Linked DNA regions of Bombyx mori. The protein of the gene in region 2 purifies or fractionates together with the protein of the main gene of each other region. This does not show direct contact. Links are inferred from orthologs where the notes say so. Each region holds a gene or a part of one and is shown on either strand. Other genes may lie near its edges. The genes, in order: U2 small nuclear ribonucleoprotein auxiliary factor 2 and serine/arginine-rich splicing factor 1A.

What was found.
Region 1: the proteins of serine/arginine-rich splicing factor 1A (region 2) and U2 small nuclear ribonucleoprotein auxiliary factor 2 purify together in Homo sapiens (affinity purification with mass spectrometry; 4 studies listed by BioGRID and IntAct, counting the BioPlex papers as one, with this or other methods). This does not show direct contact. The link is inferred for Bombyx mori from reciprocal best matches to the Homo sapiens genes SRSF1 and U2AF2.

Annotation. Positions count from the first base shown.
Region 1 is NC_085123.1:10,727,550-10,737,847, reverse strand, and holds U2 small nuclear ribonucleoprotein auxiliary factor 2, read right to left. Parts: upstream 8,878-10,298; 5' UTR 8,753-8,877; coding exon 8,737-8,752; intron 8,663-8,736; coding exon 8,090-8,662; intron 7,814-8,089; coding exon 7,731-7,813; intron 6,657-7,730; coding exon 6,534-6,656; intron 6,424-6,533; coding exon 6,336-6,423; intron 6,249-6,335; coding exon 6,095-6,248; intron 5,254-6,094; coding exon 5,169-5,253; intron 4,429-5,168; coding exon 4,297-4,428; 3' UTR 3,582-4,296; exon of another isoform or gene 3,580-3,581; intron 2,628-3,579; 3' UTR 2,536-2,627; intron 1,554-2,535; exon of another isoform or gene 1,548-1,553; 3' UTR 1,403-1,547; downstream 1-1,402. UniProt on the Homo sapiens protein: Plays a role in pre-mRNA splicing and 3'-end processing. By recruiting PRPF19 and the PRP19C/Prp19 complex/NTC/Nineteen complex to the RNA polymerase II C-terminal domain (CTD), and thereby pre-mRNA, may couple transcription to splicing.
Region 2 is NC_085122.1:426,855-435,745, forward strand, and holds the start of serine/arginine-rich splicing factor 1A, read right to left. Parts: upstream 5,847-8,891; 5' UTR 5,628-5,846; coding exon 5,449-5,627; intron 4,706-5,448; coding exon 4,342-4,705; intron 3,448-4,341; coding exon 3,371-3,447; intron 2,687-3,370; coding exon 2,578-2,686; 3' UTR 2,568-2,577; intron 1,395-2,567; 3' UTR 1-1,394. UniProt on the Homo sapiens protein: Plays a role in preventing exon skipping, ensuring the accuracy of splicing and regulating alternative splicing.

The DNA.
Region 1 (10,298 bases), on a different chromosome or scaffold from region 2:
GTTGGTTTGTAGAACGACAATAGGGTCTATGAACACAAAGGTAACCGTTGGCCACATTGACATTTTGACAAAGAGCGATCGGATGAAAGCTACGCTCCTCGACCCGGCATACACTACCGATACACACCTGGGCAACCCGAGGGTATGAGTTATGGCGCCATTAACTAGATTGCCTAGAGGCAGAGCTGGGCAGTTTATTGTGAGAGTTGCTGATCATATCACCGGCGACTGTTGATCTGGCGTTCCGTGGTGCGGTTAAGCAATTTACGTGAGCTATCACAATTGTATCTCTGTATATGAATCGGATGCTCAGGTAGAAAAGCGACACAAGGATTATTTAATAGGTTCAACCATACCACAGCCCCAACATGTAGCGGATGATCCATCTATATATTCTAATTCGTTTTAGTGGTAAGCAGCGGCTTGACTGTTTCACCATCAGAATATCTATCTGGTGGACTGCGTGTTCATCTGCATACATGGGTAAAAAAAATACGCAACCAAAAAGGCGCGTCCTGTCTACCCATTTAAACAAAAGTATTCGGAGAACTCGATATAGAGACCATCGATTTAATGAAGTCAGATTTAAGTTTATTTAGTCATAATAATTGTGATCTGTCGAGCGATCTCTTATTAGCCTTGTTCAATTTGTACTAACGTAAGGGGCTCAGTAAAGAGGCACTTGTTATTTGTTTCTTTATCAGTTTATTTTTATAGATGGGAAAATGAGTTCACGGCTCAACTAGTGATAATTAGTTCTCGACACCCATAGATATCAATCAAATGAATCCATCCTGTAATATAAAGAAGAAGTCTCAATTATAAGTTATATGACGGCATACCGACTATAGACTAGACCTACCTTTCAAACCCGAACGCATTACTGCTTCGGTAAAAATAAGTAGGGCGGTGGAACCTACCCGAACGGGACACGAGACACCTTACTACCAGTTGCTACGCAAACTGAATTTTTTGTTGGGTTGTTTTTTATTGCACAATATTATTCCTTCATCGTTGTAGTCGTTCTTGAACACGTGCTATGTATTTCCTTAGATAAATTAACATTTGCCTGTGGGATTTGAACACCGGTATGGTGGTATCGTTTGATACGAATAAGTTAATCGGGCGGCTATGACGAATTCTTTACGTATTGTTCACTTTTGATTTTCTTTGCTATTTTAGTAAGTATACCTAGGTCTAAATCTAACAGTATGGACAAGTAAAAGTTTTTTGGATTCATGTATCAAATACGATCATTTTAAAGGTTTTATTATATTTATTTTATCACTGTAGTATTCTATCAATGAATATACAGAATAATTGAGTCACACAGGATTTCAGAAAGCTTCGTTTTATCTCACAAATGTGAGTAACCAAGTTATCTTATCTAAAGAGATAATAGCTCAACGCTAAAAATGTACATGTTTTTCTGTATTAGTTTATCATAGGTGTTGTTAGTGATTGTGTTTCTCTATTGAGTATTTGTGAAAGAAAAAAAATCAATAAAATGGCACAGAAGAAATCTGTTTTGTTTTACTTCGCTGTGATTTTAGGTACGTATCTAGAGTAAAATTTGTTGTAGTTAAGGACCTAAAGTGAAATGTGTTGCGGAGGGAACATTACTGCATTGTATTTTTTAACTTTTAAGAGTTTGAAAGGAGCTCTTTCCCTAATGTTATATGTGTACTCAACACCCAATTAAATATCTTAGCTTTGACGCCAGGTGACTTAAAAGAGTAATAGCAAATGTTACTTTTGCATCACTATAATATACACGTATCAAGTAGGTACTGTGTTGTTTATACTGCCAGTAACCTACTTAATAGATAAGGAAAAAGGTAGGTACTAAAATCAAGACTTATGAAGGTAATGTACTTAAGTAGTTTGATAATTTACGTATAGACACACATAGATAGATAGATATGTTTGGGAAGAAGAAATGTACCAACCTTTAGTTTGTTGGGGGTTATGACTATCAGTCTGATAAAGCGCATTGATTTTAATTTAATCGTCAGTCTGAATGAATGACATTAAAGGTACGGGGTACTTTACAAATAACGGCTAATCGTGAACATCACACACTTGAAATTAAGTAGGTACCTAGATGATTCAAGAAAAACGGAAACTTGTAGGTGACCATTTTGGTTTTCTATTTTTTTCTCCTACCTAAGCTGATGGTTTAGAGAGACCATATCAGCGTAGCCTGAACTAGTAGGTGAGCTCACGGGGCTCGAACCGGACGATGTTGCTAATACAAACCCTAGCAAGAGCTGTGCTTCGCAGAATCTACCACTAGATCGGAAACGCGACCCACTAAGAAGATCCGGCGAGAAACTCAGTGGGTTAATTTACTCGCCGAGCCCTTCGTCGCAAGCGACGGGTTCGATGAGAATGATGACCGGGGCATTTTGGTCGCGAGTGTATTGGCGAATTTTATTATTAATAGTTTTAGCGGAAAAAAACAAAAGTTAAGAATTTAACAAAAGGGTATGTTTGCCTTGCCAATATGTGCAATAATAAATTATTTTTTATTATTTTTAGTTATTTTGAGTACACTTACACAAGAGGTAGAAGCCAGAAGAAAAATTCTTAGAGGAAGACGTGTTATGACCCGCACTTACTACCGTAAGTTTATCTTCAATATCCTTGCCGGAAATCAGATAAATTCGTTAAATTCCGTAAGTTACCGTATCTTCTGATAGTAGGACGTTTCTGCGAACCTGCACGGTAAGTGCTACTAAGGTACCTACCTAGTTATGAGGTACCTAGCTATTATTTCCGAGAGGCAATTATATCAGTCCGGTTTTGACGGAACAGTCGTTCTACAATAAATTTCAACCTCATATCTTAAGGCAATATCAAGTCACCACTCAGTAACTGATCTGAGGAGGTGATCCGGTTAGCTCGTGCCTATCGAGACGAATAGAAAGTCTTATCTTCAGTAATTATCAAGCCAAAAAACTGGGCAATCGATGATGCCGATGGTATACACCTAATCAGTTATAGAGGTCGCTGAAAGATAGCGTAGCTATTGCGAAAAATACAAATACAAATGCTGTTTTGAATACCCGGGGAGTTTGCGCTCCGAAGACCGAAGTGTGAGCTGCGTTTGATGAACTCAAAAAGTGCAAAGCACCAGGCGCTTTTCACTTTGTCAGTGTCTTGAGCAAATAAGGAACACGACTAGCGAAAAGTTAACTAGATGGCTTCTTTTTGCTATACAAAGAAACCAACAAAACATACTATGCGTTTTATTCAAAACATGGGTCAACTTATATCAAGTAAGTTCATCTTGCGATCCACTATAGAACATCCTTTCTCATCTGCTAGTCATTTCTAGGTCAAAATGTATGAGATGATAACATTTGCCATTCACATATTAATTTCGATTGGTCAGTAGTAGTCACAAAACATTTTCGTCTTGACTTCGTATCAAACTATAGGGCGCTAACATGAAAATAAATTCACAAATTTCTTATATTTTAATTTATTTTATTTTTATAGAGATCGCGTGTTGTGTAGGTTGATTAAAATAATCAATCAACTTGCGTGCTCAAAATTCATTTTATTTTATTACAGGTGGCAATGCGGTTCCCGCGTGGGCAATTAGCTTGATGGCTGGAATTGGAATGTTGATCATCGGTGGCGTCTTATATGTAGTTATGAGGAAACTCGTTCTATCTTCGGAAACGGGTTCACTGAATACTTACCAACCTGCTATGCAGCAAGAAGTATAAAACTACAGTTTTTTTTTTTATAATGTACCTACGTTAAAACGATTCGAATTTGAAACTTTTTAATAAAAACACATGATTCGAGATAAATTTATTTATTCATAGCAGTTACAAACGCGCAATATACTTTTTAGTTAATACTTAACATGTCAGTTGTAGTGAATTGGTGACGAAAAGCATGATGCTCCAATTCACATGCATTTTGATAGATTTAATCTCTGTCGTTTGTTGAATGTGCTACTAGCATGTGTCATGTATAGGTCTTGTGAAAAAAAAAAAACTTTTATTTTCAACAAAACGTGACATTTTCAATTTATAGAACTTGTAAAATTAATTATCAGTCGTAATTGAGTAGATCACAATTAAATCTGTTCATTTGGTAGTTAAGAACTCACTTTTACAATGAATCGTTACAAGCATTTATTTTTAAATTTAATTTGTTCTTATATGTTTTTAATGTAAACTAATGAAAATTAAACTTCTTTCAAAAACAATGTTGAACATTTTCTTACACGCTAGTGCAACAGGACGAAGTTGAAGTGACGGTAAAAAAAATATATCTTTAAAACTCTCTGCGATGATATTTGTCAGGATCGAAGTAGGATGTGACGACGACTCTGTTACTGAACTTGCGTCCTGTGAGCGTCTGCTGCGCTTTCTGGCAATCTGCAATACTGTTGAACTCGACAAATACCTGATAAAAAAAACGTTTTTTAACAAAAAAAATGTGGATTTTATTCGTTTATTCCAGTCTTTTTATTTATTTATTGCTTTGATGGTTGGACGAGCTCACAGCCCACCTGGTGTTAAGTGGTTACTGGAGCCCATAGACATCTACAAAATAATTGCGCCACCCACCTTGAGATATAAGTTGTGAGGTCTCAGTATAGTTACGACGGCTGCCCCACCCTTCAAACCGAAACGCATTACTGCTTCACGGCAGAAATAGGCGGGGTGGTGGTACCTACCCGTGCGGACTCACAACAGGTCCTACCACCAGTAATAAATTCCATAGTCGTATATATGGACCTCTCTTATGTTGGTTTATTACAATGTGAATGTCACCACCTACCTTGAGATATGAGGTATCTATAACATTCAATTGTTTAGTGTATGTACTTAACGACTTTCCTACTAATTCCTAAATGAAAACTTCACGACAGAAATTTAAAGTGTGGCATGTTTATGATAATATGATATTTGAGTTTTGTAGAAATCATCTCATATTATTTCTTATAGCTACATTTATAGACTCGATTATTTCGTATAATTTTATTTTTATTATTTATCTCAGTTTAAAAATATGAGAATATTTTGATGAGCTTGTTATATCAATTTGTACAACTAATTTATTTTGACCTAAAAGTACATAGAAGCAGTAAGACATACTCAATTATGATTTCCAAACCATTAATTTTAAATATAAATATTTACCTTGCCGCATCCAGGTACTTCGACTCCTTCAATTGGTCTTGGAATTTCTATACTACGCACAACACCATATTTGTTGCATTCCTCCCTGAAATACCATATTTTTAGTGAGTCTCATATTCATTTTTTATAGCTAGGAATGTACAGTAATAATTACATTACTAATTCTTTTTTTGTTATTGATTTGATGGGTGGACGAGCCCACGGCCCACCTGACGTTAGGTGGATACCGGAGCCCATAGACAACAACAACGTTAACGCCGCCACACCCATTGAGACATGAGTTTTAAGTCTCAGTTTTTACAGTACAATGGCTGCCCTATTCTTTAAGTCGAAACGCATTACTACTTCACGGCAGAAATGGACAGTATTGTGGGACCTACCTAGGCAGGTAATCACACAAATTGGGATTTTTGCAGGTTTGATTTTATTACTCAATGTTATTTCTTCGCGAATTTTTGTTAAGGTACACAGGTAAAGGTTTTTTTTATTAAAAAAAAATTGATTGAGTATAAAAAAGAGTTCCATTAAAATTGTAAACTATAATTTTCAAAAAGAAAGAAGTCTATGAAAGAAATCATTTTTGTTGTTTCATTTATATGACTTGTACTTATGTTCCATGCAGTAACAATTAAAAAAAAGCTTAAATAAATGTGAATAGTTTATCAGGAAGTTATTCTTATTTCTATTTTATTTATTTATTTTTATTACATTATGAAGAATAATGTGTTATGAAAAACGAAATGCTTTATACACTGCTAAAACTAATATGAAATCTGAATTGTTACTTTACTTATTGGAACTGAGGTACCAATATGAAGATTTAATTTTATATTCTTGTTCTGATTTTGAACATTTTTAGATGAAGTTTAAGTGTGCATTTCATGTATTAGTGCTTGTGTGTGTGACATGTACAAAATGTTACTTACTTTATATCTTCAAGGATATCTTCATACTCCTCTTCATCACGCAATTCATCAGGTGTTACCATGTTAAGAAGGCACAATACTTCAGTAGGTGGACCTGCTCCAGCCAAGGTCAAACCTGCCACTTGGATTTGCACTGGAGCTGCACCGGTCAGTGCTGAAAAGTATCCCATTTCTATTTAAAATCTTTTATAATTTCTATTCTAAAACTAAAACATAGGTCATATTCTGTATTAAAATTTACCTAAAGTTGAATTCTTTGCGCCTATACTGGCACGTTGCACAATCAACTTTTTATCTCCAAGTTGCATTCCATTTAAACCTGCAATAGCCTGTGAAAATAAAATTAATTTATGATTTAAAGTTTTTTTAAAAATTAAATTGGCCTTAACTATGCAAAAGCCAATAAATTAATAAATTGGGTGACATAATGATTATTTACCTGATCTGTCATAGAAATGTCGACATATTCAGCAAAAGCATAGCCTTTGCTCAACCCAGTTGAAGAGTCTTTCACCAAATTGAAGGCCCGGAGTTGACCAAATGACATGAGTAATTCCTTTACCTGTTTCATGACAAAATTAGTGAGCAAATAATAATCTTTTAATTCCCAGCATTGTATTAATTTACGTTACATATTCATAATGATCAGCATAGACATTTCTAATGCTAATGTTTTTTGTATTGTATGTTTGAATTGTTGTGTTCCCATTAAATCTGTTCATCAAAATGCAGCAAATTACATAAGTGAATTATGCTATCTGACCTGTGTCTAGCCGCATGTTAGAATCAGATGTGAATGGAAGAGACTTGCCTTGAAGTGCCGATGTCTCGTTCAAGTACAAGACGTATAGATGAGAATGAGAGACAACAGTGACACGCGGGCCGCGAATGTGCCAAATCTAAGCTAGGGAGGGCAGAAAGCAAACTATATCAGTGAGTTGTTTGAGAACATCCGAGCGTGGTACGCACACGCTCGTCCACGCTACGGGTACCTGAAAATACCTGAAACGGACCAAAACATAACGCGGCTCACTGCTGGCGTCACCGGGGCCTAAGTCCTGTCAACTGTTGAATCTCGGCCTGAAATTGTTGCGGCATCTAGTACGCTATAACTACCTACTGGGAACGAACAAACTCATGGTTCTTTTAATGTCCTAACATTACCTAAAGTAGGATTTTGAAATAACTATTATAGTCCAAAATACTTGAATTTGTCGATCTAAGAGAATTCTATGTTTATCATAACCAACATAATTATTATTTCCATTTTGTCTGGTCAAAACCTGTAACACACAACTCTACAAATCACAATGAGAGAAGAATGTTGTATAATATAACCATTTTTTTATTATCAAAAGGTTTCTTTTAGTGGGAAACATAAATCAACCATAATTTATGTGAATTGAGTTTTCATTTGGTTTAAAAATAAAAACTTTTTGGTAAGTAGTACTTATAAATAATAGCTTAATTTGATCACATCAAAAATACAGAAAATAAGTACCTCTACTTTAATCCAAAAACCATGTGTAGCTTTAAAAAACTCCAAACTTGATTTTGATCATGATGTGATTAAATTATGGTTTCTTGAATGCTTAATTTCAACTATAAATTTTAATAGATAAAACAAGGAACTTACTTGGTCCTCATTTAGATAATTAGGCAATCCCCCTATAAAGATCTTGTGTGGGGAATCAGGTACAACAGTGCTAATAACACCAGCTGTAACAAAATAATATTTGAATGAAGACACTAGTAATGAGTATTTTAGTTGTAATTAATGCTGTTTCAAGAGTTTAAAAAGAGCTGTAGAATTATAACAACAAAATTCAGTTTATTTTAAATATTGCATTTTCTTAATAAAAAATAGCACTTTCAATCGAGTTCAAGACTCATTACTTGATAGATAAATCTATAGTATCTTCTAATGTAGTTTAAATGTATTTTTATAAGAAAAGTTGTTTGTAATAACAATATCACAATATCATAATTACTTACCAGGCACATTTATTGCTGGGTTTTCAGTGCCTGGCATAGGCTGGTAGTCATGTGGACGTCGAATCTTTAAGCTTTGCCCTTTAAAATTAATACCGTCAAAAGCCATTGCCTGTGTCGTTTCATCAATTGATCTGAATTCAAGGAATGCAAAATTTTTATCTAAATTAATCTGGCAAGCCAAAACAGGGTTGCCGGCGGCCTGGGCCAGGCCCGATAGATGCATTTGTTGATTGAAAAACTCCATTGTTTCTTCTTCGGTGACGCCAAAGGGTATGTTGCCGACATATAACCTTCGCGCTTGACGTGTTATAGTCGAACCCACCACCGGCACGGCAGCTTGTGGTGTGTCGGCGACAATATTGGCAGGAATCTGACCCGCCGCTTGCATCGCCTTGTATTGTAATGGCGTGATATGCTCGAATCCCGGCGGCGGTACATCCCAGTAAAGCGAAGGCTTACGTCTACGTGAACGTTTATTGGGCGATCTTGATCTGCTTTTTCTTTTTTCTCTTCGTTCTCTAGATCGAGATCTAGAACGTTTTCTTTCTCGGGATCGAGACCTTCGTCGGCGGTCTGTAATATTTGTGAGCATTTTATTTTATAACCTCACTTCAAAACTTTACAAGATAGATATGTGAACTACTTACCTTTATCTTCCCCCATCTTATTTACGGAAATATGTAATACAGTAACTATTTCTTGAGATAGTAATAAAGGCGCTTCAGCGTTATTAGTATAATTAGCGTTGGCATCAACATAAAATCTAAGTCAGTTTCCGTGAAATGGCGTCTGTTATTTTTTTATACGGACGTTGGTTACTCGACTTTTGGCTAATGATGCTATAGTGAATTTCCTGATACGTAATCATCACTAAAATCCTATGCTTGCCCTAGGACAAATTTCGGACGCGAACGCAGAACTGGTGTTTCCTCAAGTATAAATGTGTAATAATGATAGCTAATTAATCATTGATGTGCCTTTGGAAAACATACAGCATTGTATTATGAAGAAGCAGTGTGTACTTAGCTTAGATTCCTTGTCTATGTCCAACCATAGACAGTCAATTTAGTTCCATCTTTAGCCGCTAGGTGCTGCCAGCAAGTATAAAGGGAGCGCAGCCATCTTTGATCTTCATAGCGTTGTGTACTTTCGTACTGTGAAGTCGCAAGTCCACAAATATTTATTCGACTTCTTATTAATTGCAAAAAATATTTATTTTGTGTTTCTATGAGTGTTATTTTGCAATCATTACGAGTATTATTTACCAATCCTATCATCGGACGCCATGAATCACGCGTCATCTGTTGGAGGTGATGTTGAGTCAAGCTCCATAATTTCCGAGAGGGAAGATGTCCAGGCGAGACGCGATGGAGACGCCTCGCGTTCGAACAGCTCGTCAAGCGAAAAAGAACAAAAGGAGTCTCTGCGTAAGAAACGACGGGATTCAAAGGTAACGGTCGATCTTCGAATCGGCTCGTTATCCCACCAGGTCAGTGACGTTGTAAATCTAATAATGCATCAACTGTGTGTAACAATTGAATGTAACGAAAATTGTTGTAAACAAATTGATCTCGTCAATACGGAAATTTTGACAAAAACACAACAGATTTAAACTAATAATCTTTGTAACATAATTACTGAAAACTTTGACAAATCGTCTCCGTCGTACAAGTTACCCGTAAAAAGCGTTTTAAATTGTATACGGAAAAAAGGGCCGTATGTATAGAAATAAGACGTCAAAGTTTAATTTCCGTGGTCTCTAACAAAGTATCCTGTTGCCAACGCGCCACTCATTGAGGAATTTTTGTTTGATAATAGTAAATTGAAATCTATTCAGTCCCTCGGAGGGCTACAATCCTATTTGTCACGATCTCGTACAAAAGGTAAGCCAAACATTATAAACAATCATAGTCCGTAACATCTGGCACAATCCAGAGGGGGGCAATTGAAGACACCGACGGCACTGAGGCACTGAGTGCCACCAAAATTGTAATAATTTGTAAACCATGTATGGTTACCAAATACCGTAAAAAAAAAAAAAAAAACAACAAAAAAAAAAAAAAAAAAAAAAAAAAAACTACCTTTTTCTGCGGAAGAAAAGCGACGGATCAATGCGTCCAATTTTCGATCTTCGAGAGTTGAACAAGGTCGTAAAGATAAAACACCTGTTTTCGGACACCTAGGTACCAAACTTTCTCCACCCAGGGGA
Region 2 (8,891 bases):
CGTGCACTCAACATAACTTATTTTGGCAAGGAATCATAACGTCATACCCGGCGCGTCCAGCGGTCCTGATCCGTCCAGTGCGACACACAGGCCCCCGGTCGTGTCCTACAGCCCGCGACACTAACATCCGTGTTCCGATCCTGACTCACACCTCCAACGATCCCATCCAAGCACATCCAACGATCCAAAGTCGATGAAACAAAAGAAAATTACTTTAATTATACATGTCAAACCTTCTGTCTTATTATACATTACTACGGTGTCAGTGTCAACAACGCTGTGCCTCGTGGACTATTTTTTTTTATTTTACAATTTTAATAAAAAATCACCTTTACAATGAAATATTTAAAAGAGATATTAATATATGGATGGAATCGTGAAAGATTATATTGAAAATGTATAATGGTTTCCATCAGAGTGGTTCAGTCGCAAACTCGCGGGTGTTTGCTCTAATATCTAATACATTACAATTTTGAGACCATCACCAATTCATAAAATAAATTTTTAAAATTAAAACAGTCAACGAAACAAAGTATTGAAAGGCACGTTCAAAAGCAAAAATTCCTAAACAATAGTCTTTGTGAAATATATTTTTAAACAAGTCATGAGTTTCTACTGTGAAGTTTCAAAATCGTCAATGTCAATATTCTGATTATTGACACATTTTTTATAAAAAAATTGTATTGTTAACTCATCATCCAATTAGTAGAATTTAGAGAATGCTTTGGATAAAACTTGTTTTGAGATTTTAAAAAAACAAAAGCAAATTATAAATAAAGATTCAAAATTGTCTAACAAAACAAAAAATTGGAGGTTTTTGGATTTAAACAGAACAAACACCTTTGTGTGAATTAAAGACGATACAAATACACAACTAACTGTTGGTCAAATATAAAATTGCTTACAACTTTGGAAAATTGAAGTATCCCTTTAATTTTGTCCATATCCAATTTAGCATGAGTATTACATTTTCATTACTTAAAATTCATTTCATCCCTATGCATCTGAATCTATTATACTTTACATTTTCATAAATAAATTAAAAAATATTATGTCTCAAGTCTTGTTTGAACAAAAACATGGTCCTAAGGTTTGTAGCCTCACTGTACAAGTGAACTCGCGTAATATTAGCTCATACCCTACAGTTAGTTATCAATTCCCAATTTAATAATCATTGCACAATTTGTAGGACATTACAGTATGAAAAGCAGTACCGACGAAATTCATCTCAAAACAGTCTCCAAAGATACAGTGAGAGCTAACATGTAATTTTTGCATTTGAACGTGAATGTTTGTTTGTATACAAGTGGGAGGGCTTATGAACTACAAACAGCTGGGAGTCGCGGCGGCACCGGGGGCGATGACCTCTCGGCGCGTGTCACTGACCTCTACGGCTGCACACAAACACACAGAATTGTTCATCTTCTTCATTTTTTTAAATTTTAAATTTATTATGTTTTATTATTTTATTATGAACACCAGTAATTTATTATGCACATATGTTGGGTAACAAGTCAGTTCACTGTGTGTCTGTCTTTATACAACCCGCACTTAGCAATCCTTTTAAAGAGAAAAGTACCCTCACTAATACACAACAAAATCTATTTTTAATATCATTATCTATCTTTTATTTATAACAGTACATTATTGTCTTGAACAGTTTGTCGTAGTTATACTACTTTTGATGCACTGAAACGGTCTGGAGAATTCGCACATAATAGATAGTGTGACGTTAGTAGATAAAATTACATTAGAAGTGAAATTAGTACTAGAGAACTCAACAAAATTGTTAGATCTAAATTTATTTTCTGTTTTTTTTTTAGTTTTTTATTTTAGTTTTAGCATAAAAGTTATGTTTTGAGATTCCTTTTGTGTATATATCGCCATTTCCCATTTTGGGTTCCTAGAGTAATTGGCATAGTGGATTATTTTTAAAATCTGTTATAGTGGGATCTTGTCTGTCATAGGCTGTGAAAATATGTCGTTTTTTTTTAAATTCAGTATGTTTTTATGAACACAGCTACAATATAAAAACAATCATTTCAACTTGATGACATCATTAGATGATAGAACCACTTATTATTTAAAATGAAGTTCTGATAATCATTAAAGTCAGTTGCTTAGTTCACATTTGCTGTCCAGTAGATTTAAAAAACTACTTAATTATTAGGTAAATGTTCAATTTCAATGTCTCTAAATTATAGAAAACATTTGTACTTACCGATTGATTTTGACAAACCAACAATGTCGGTAAACATATGGTGTGCATTAATTGTAATCAAATGTTAATTGTGCTTAATGTTCATCTTTATAATGTTTACATTTTATGAAAATCTGTATCCTTAGGGTATCCCTGCACGGCCATGCTGACCAGATTATGATTCCTACTTTCGCTAGTTATCTATAAGACTAAATTTATCCAAGTCCATTAAGTTTTTATTAATAGAATGGTAGTTTTATCCACTGATAAATAATCCATGTTTCTAACAATGTATGAACATTATAGAGAACCTACCAAATGTGAACAGCAATGTTTAATTAGATATAATCTCATAAGAGTACAGTACCTTGTGGGAGTCAGTAGTTATGTGACCGCGAACGGGAGCGTGAGCGCGAGCGCGAGTAGGAGCGTCGCACCGGGGAGTAGGTTGGGGTGCCACGACGCCGCGGGGAGTATGACCGAGACCTTGTGAAGAATATATCACCTTAGAACAGGGGTGGGCAAAAGCCGGCCCGCGGGCCGGATCCGGCCCTTTTGCTAATTTTATCCGGCCCGTTGAAAAATTCCGCACATAAATTTTTTTAAACTCTTTTATGAGATTTTGCTGACATCAGCATTAAAAAAGCATATGCGGTAAAAAAGCATATGCGGTATAGTCCTCCGGCCCGGGAGACATTTTGAAAATTTCATTTTGGCCCGCGCTTTAAAGTATTTGCCCACCCCTGCCTTAGAAGTAATTAACATCTTCTTAGCAAAGACAGTTTTAATAGTACTAAGTTATCCAACACAATTGTTAATGTCCAAAGGTGGGCTGAGATAACAAAATCGATATATATAAAAATGAATTGCTGTTTGTTAGTCTCGCTAAAACTCGAGAACGGTTGGACCGATTTGGCTAATTTTGGTCTTGAATTATTTGTGGAAGTCCAGACGTTTAAAAGGTAAAATAAAATTTTGTTTTTCCTTTGATGTGTCCCCCGTTGGACGGATTCCTTTTGTTTGTTTTAAGTTTATTTTATACAATAGTTAGGTCTTTTATTTATCGATTGAGGCACTACGAAGTCTGCCGGGTCAGCTAGTTTAATCAATATATTTGGCCAATTAAATGATATAGTAGTCAGTTAATGTAGTAATGGTATGTAGTGGTACCTGTCACCGCCGCCGCCACCACCGCCACCGCCGCCACCGCCATAGTCTTCCTTCACACGTATATATGTCACCTCACCCTGGAAATGAATATTTAATAGACGTCTAAATCTTGCACTACATGACACTGCTTGCTTTTTAAATTTCTTGAGTTGATTGTAAAACGCTTTTACAGTGTAATATAGCTTTCTTTTCATTCATTTTATAATCTTCATCATCTATGACCATAAGGTCTGTAATATCAAGATTAAGAAAGTATGGTTCAAATTTGATCCATGGTTCAAATTTCTTTTGTAATATCAATATGAAAGCAAACTCAGTTTACTTAAGCTGAGATGATGTTTTGTTGCCTCACATCTCATTTTACATTCCATTTGTTCTTTTCAATCTCATATCAGTTTTTCTCAAACTGAAATTACTTTACCATAATTGACAAGTGAATTGTTTTTTAAAAAAAATATTTAACTGTATGTTGAAAGGACAATCTCATTTTTTATAATTCAGTAAACAAATTGGTAACAAGTATGGGCAGAAAAAAACATTGAAAAAAAAAAAAAAAAAAACTGGTATTGCAAATAATCAGAAAAAGGAGACAGCTTAGTCCAACCTAGCTAAAGAATTCAAAAGTTTGTTTTGCTTACTTTATTTACTTGAGTTTTACAGAATGCAATTTTGGACATTATAGATATCTACTGAGTTTGACACAAAATAACAGTTGTTGATTTTGAGCAGCTATTTGTAAATGAACAGTTTAAGCACTATCCCATGGTTTAATTTCTCCTTCATGAGCCTTAAACTTCTAACTAATTCAAATTAAACTATAAAAGTATTTGACACAATTGATTATCTTGAAACTTTTATGTCCACGTTGGGTAACAATGATAAAAAATTTGGGACAATCCACCAACAGTACTGTTCTTTCACATTACAGGTTATGTTTATAATTATTTTCAAATAAAGTGGAAGAAACTAACCTCATGACTCCTAAATCTAGAATCATCTAACTTTTTAACAGCATACTTCATATCTTCATGCCTCAAAAATTCCACAACACCAGATCCATCTTTAAAGGTGTCTGCAAAGCATACGTCGCCGGCCTCTCGCATATGGTCTTTGAGGTCCTGCCAGGAACCCGAGGGCGGTAAGCCGGTAACGAGCACGCGGTATTCAGAGCGTCGAGCGGGCGGACCACGTGCTGCCCCTCGTCCACCCCAACGGTCACCACCGCCTCGAGAACCACGAGAGCCTCCACCTCCACCTCCACGAGGGAACTCGACTCGAAGACGGTACCCATCATAGTCGTAACCATCCCTGGCTCTTACTGCATCATCTGCATCTCTGAATTCCAAAATAGATTTTATTAAAATAACTTGTCTCAGATTAATTTAGGTAGATATGACTGTATATTCTACTAGGAGTGAAACAAGGCAGGCTCTGAGCTGTGCACCTGGTATTCTTGACGTTCATTAGTGACAGTAACAACTCACCATGAAGTGGACATATCTAATAAAAGAACCAATCACACACAGTTTTGACATCACTCATTGTGTAATTTTAATTTAATATGTTGTGTGTTTATATGTGTGTTATAATTTTATATAATTGGCAATAATCAGCAAATTTTATTGATTTTAATTTTTCTGAAATAATTAGAAATCATAGGTGAATATTATTAGATTTATGGATACAGGTGCTCTGGCAGACTATTAAATCTGTGCCACCCTTCATATATTTTAATATGTGCCAACTTTTAAACTAATTAGTTGTCAATTAATCATAAAATAATAAATGATTAATTGTTAATTTAAAGTCCCATTTTCATTTATCAGTAAAAATGTTTACTTAATCTGTATCTGTATCTGTGGTGTGGAAAATTATATTAACGCTGAATAAAATTGTTCATTTCGCTATAGTCGGGTACAGATAGCGGTGTATGCGGCATAACGTATGCGCTCTTTTAAATCTTCTTCAAAGGCAGCTGAACATTCCGTCCACCTGACACGGGATGATTATCGCTACTCAGACATGGACAACGTTAGTAATATAGATAGCCCGTTTCTCTTTTCGAATTCAACACTCACCTGGGATCCTCAAATTCCACGAACGCGAATGGCGGACCTTTTCTGTTCTTTAGGTCAACGAACGTTACTTTTCCGAACTTGTAAAACAAGTCTTGAATATCCTTTGTCCTTATGTCCGGTGGTAAGTTTCCAACATATATACGACACTCATTTCTGTTGCTACTGCTTCCACCCGACATTATAGCTAAAGAATATTACTATTGCTTAAACGTTTACTTATTATTATGTTGGCTTCATCGACTAATTTCACCAATCCGACGCTTTACTGTGTGTAATTGAAAGTCGGGCAATATGGCGTCAAATGTCAATGTTCCGATTTTGGATCACGGTGGATTTGACAGAAAAGAAAACGATAATCATGAAAACGGAAGTGGAAAAACCTGGTCATAGATTATAAATATGTGGCTGTATAATTTTTACAAAAGTCCGTGTGAAAGGATTTATACAAAGATGTGTATGTAGTCGTCCGGCACATTTTAAAACTAAACACCATAAAATTGAATAATTAATCTGAAATGTAGTTTGCTTTTGGTGATATCAGGATCAGGACACTTATCATTCTTTCCTGCTTGTCCGGAAGTTTCTGTGTCGAAATCAGTACCTATAGCGTGTTTTATAGGTCTTTCTAATTTCGAGCCCGCTGCCCTTCACTTTTGTTAAATGGAAATTAATATATAGGCTGATCAATATTGGCAGTTTCGAGTTATGTTAGTAACATTAAAGTATGGGTTTTCCCATATAAAATCAGGTAGGAACTTACTAGAGAACTTGTACTTGAACTTGTGCTTAAGGTGTCATCTTCTTGAATGGATTAAATAAAATAAAATAAAATAAATAATACAATAAGGCTATGCGTCATGATAATCGCCTTATTGGTGCCACCGTTGATTACTCCTCGAATTCTAATCATGCAGGAGCCAGTCACCGTTGATGCCCTAGACACGTCCTTACGGATCCATCAGATCCAATAACCTTTGCATTAGAAGCCTTCAGCTCTAACACTAGTAGCAGGCTCAGGGACCCCGGTAACCGTACTCATAGAACTCGACAAAGAGTTCGACGTGCAACCTAATCTATGTATCAGCCCGCTGAGTTTCTCGTCGGATCAGCTGTCAAAGCAGCTACTCTTGAGTTGATAAGTCTCCTTCGGAGGCGCTCGGGCAGCTGTTAAGTAATCCCACCCCTCCTGGCTGCGCTTTTGCTCACCTAACTGTCCTGGTGAAATTAGTGTAGGGGAAGCTTAACGACCGAGGGAAGATCTTCCATCGAGCTGGTGATATTGCTCGGTAGACCGACGGTCCGAATGCTGTTGTTCGGAACTTGTATATATGCGCTTTAACTTGAAAATGTCGTAAGCGAGATTCAGACATCTGTCAATTATCTTGCGTTGTATGATGGCTACCCGCCACATCACTCCCCTCCGAGACTGGAGGTCGTGTCATTTTTAGTTAGCGTTGTCCATGCTGAGATTAGCTTGCAAGGGCCAGTGCTGCTCGAAGCCTGCGGTGAGTCGAGGCTGAGCTTGAATTGCTGCGTGATTGTCGCTAGTGCTGCTCGTAGTCTGCGGTGAGTCGAGACTGAGCTTGAATGCTGCGTGATGAGGCAGTGTAGGTGCGTGCCGTAGGAGCAGGAAGCGCGGTGAGTCAGCTGCGATGGTCCTATCGAGGCTGCGATGCTGGCTTGCTGTGGGACTACTGTCGATGACTTGCTTTTATCTGCGAGAATTGTGGTAGCCGAAGTTCTTGATGCGCTGATGATGAAGTGTGAAGGCTGCAATGGTTTCGTCGCAGGTCACCAGTTTGTAGAGATATACGACAAAGGGGAGATCTTCCACCGAGCGGGTGATATTTGCTCGGTAGACCGACGGTCCTAATGTTGTTGTTTGGAACTTTTATATATGCGCTTTATTTTGAAAATGTCGTAAGCGAGATTCAGGCATCTGTCAATTATCTTGCGTTGTATGATGGCTACCCGCCACACTAGAAAGGCCTCAGGGCCACCAGTAATCCTTCAATCACAAAAAAGCTTAATGTTGAGGATACTTAGCATTAATAAGAATACTTAGCATTGATAAGAATACTTAATATGGAGTCATGTAGAGGAAGTCCAAGCACGCGTCCGAAATCTGCCGGCTTACCAATATACACAAGCAAATGCGAACAACTTATACTAGTTTATTTTATTCATTGGAAAGGCAATAGAAACGAAGCCTTAAAAGCTATTTATATACGATGAGACCAATGAAAAGCGTTTGTAAATTTCGACACTCTTTTTGGCAGGAACTATTTTGTTTTGTAATTTAGTGTTTCTTCAGGTTTAATCGTGTAATAGTGGTGGCTTATTAACCATTTAGCATCTGTCCAAGTGCATATGTAAGAGAAAATTAAAAAAAAAAGCTGCTGAACCTGGCTTTTACAAAGGTAATATAAGAAAGCTCACTGTGGTTTGAGTAAATAAGTACCATTTCACGGAGCTATTATTTCATCCCAGTTCATCTCATTTCGTTTAAAATCTATATCGAGTTCAGTCTCAAATAGATCAACTTCATTTCATTTCACTGCATAAACAATTCCTCATGATTCAGCGAAGCACTGCTCTTGCCATAGCAGATATTAGTAAACCGTTTTAGGTTGCTCCCTGGAACCACTGTCCTAACGTGCTGGCTCTAGATTTTACGATGGTATATATTACACTACTATTCGAACATTCGATTTTCTAAATTAGTAGTAGTATCCTTGACAAAAACCTCGTTTTGTTGAAGATCTTCTTGTAACTGTACTAAAGAATAAAATATTCAAGTTTAAACACGAGCATTGTAGGCAGTATTTTTCACTGTTTTAATTAGCCAGTAATTTAATTATTGTTTTTAGGGAAAATTATTATCATTCCTTGTAGATCAGGCCACTAATAAACCAAATACGCTGTTTGACCATAGAGTTTAGTTTTCGAAAATTTGAATTGAATTTAGAACGCCCTCTCGCGCATGTCGAGTGCAATTTTGTTGAAAGAAGCCTGTGAAAGAATCCTCTGGAAAGTAGGCATCGAATCTCCGGTTATCAAAATCTTAACGTGAGAATTTGTTCATTTATCGAAGCAAAAGTGAGTATTTTCAGTATTATTTAAGTAGGAATATTTAAGCATTGTCAATGTTTATTTAATATAATATCGGTTTTAAAGATTTTTTTAAAGAACGATGTTTCACGTACTACGAAAGGCGGGTTATAGAATATTTCAAGTTTCGCGATAATACAACAGATGCTTGTATTGATTCAACATTCCCGTTTCTATAGAAATTATACTAAGGTGAAAACTTACACGGCGCTGAGTCATTAGCGCTTGCTGTGTGGTAGCTATCTAATTTATTTGATGACGGGTATAAGCGCCAGTGCTTCCGTTCGAATTATCACTAGAAAACCTTCTGATACCGTTTCGGTGCTAAGGTA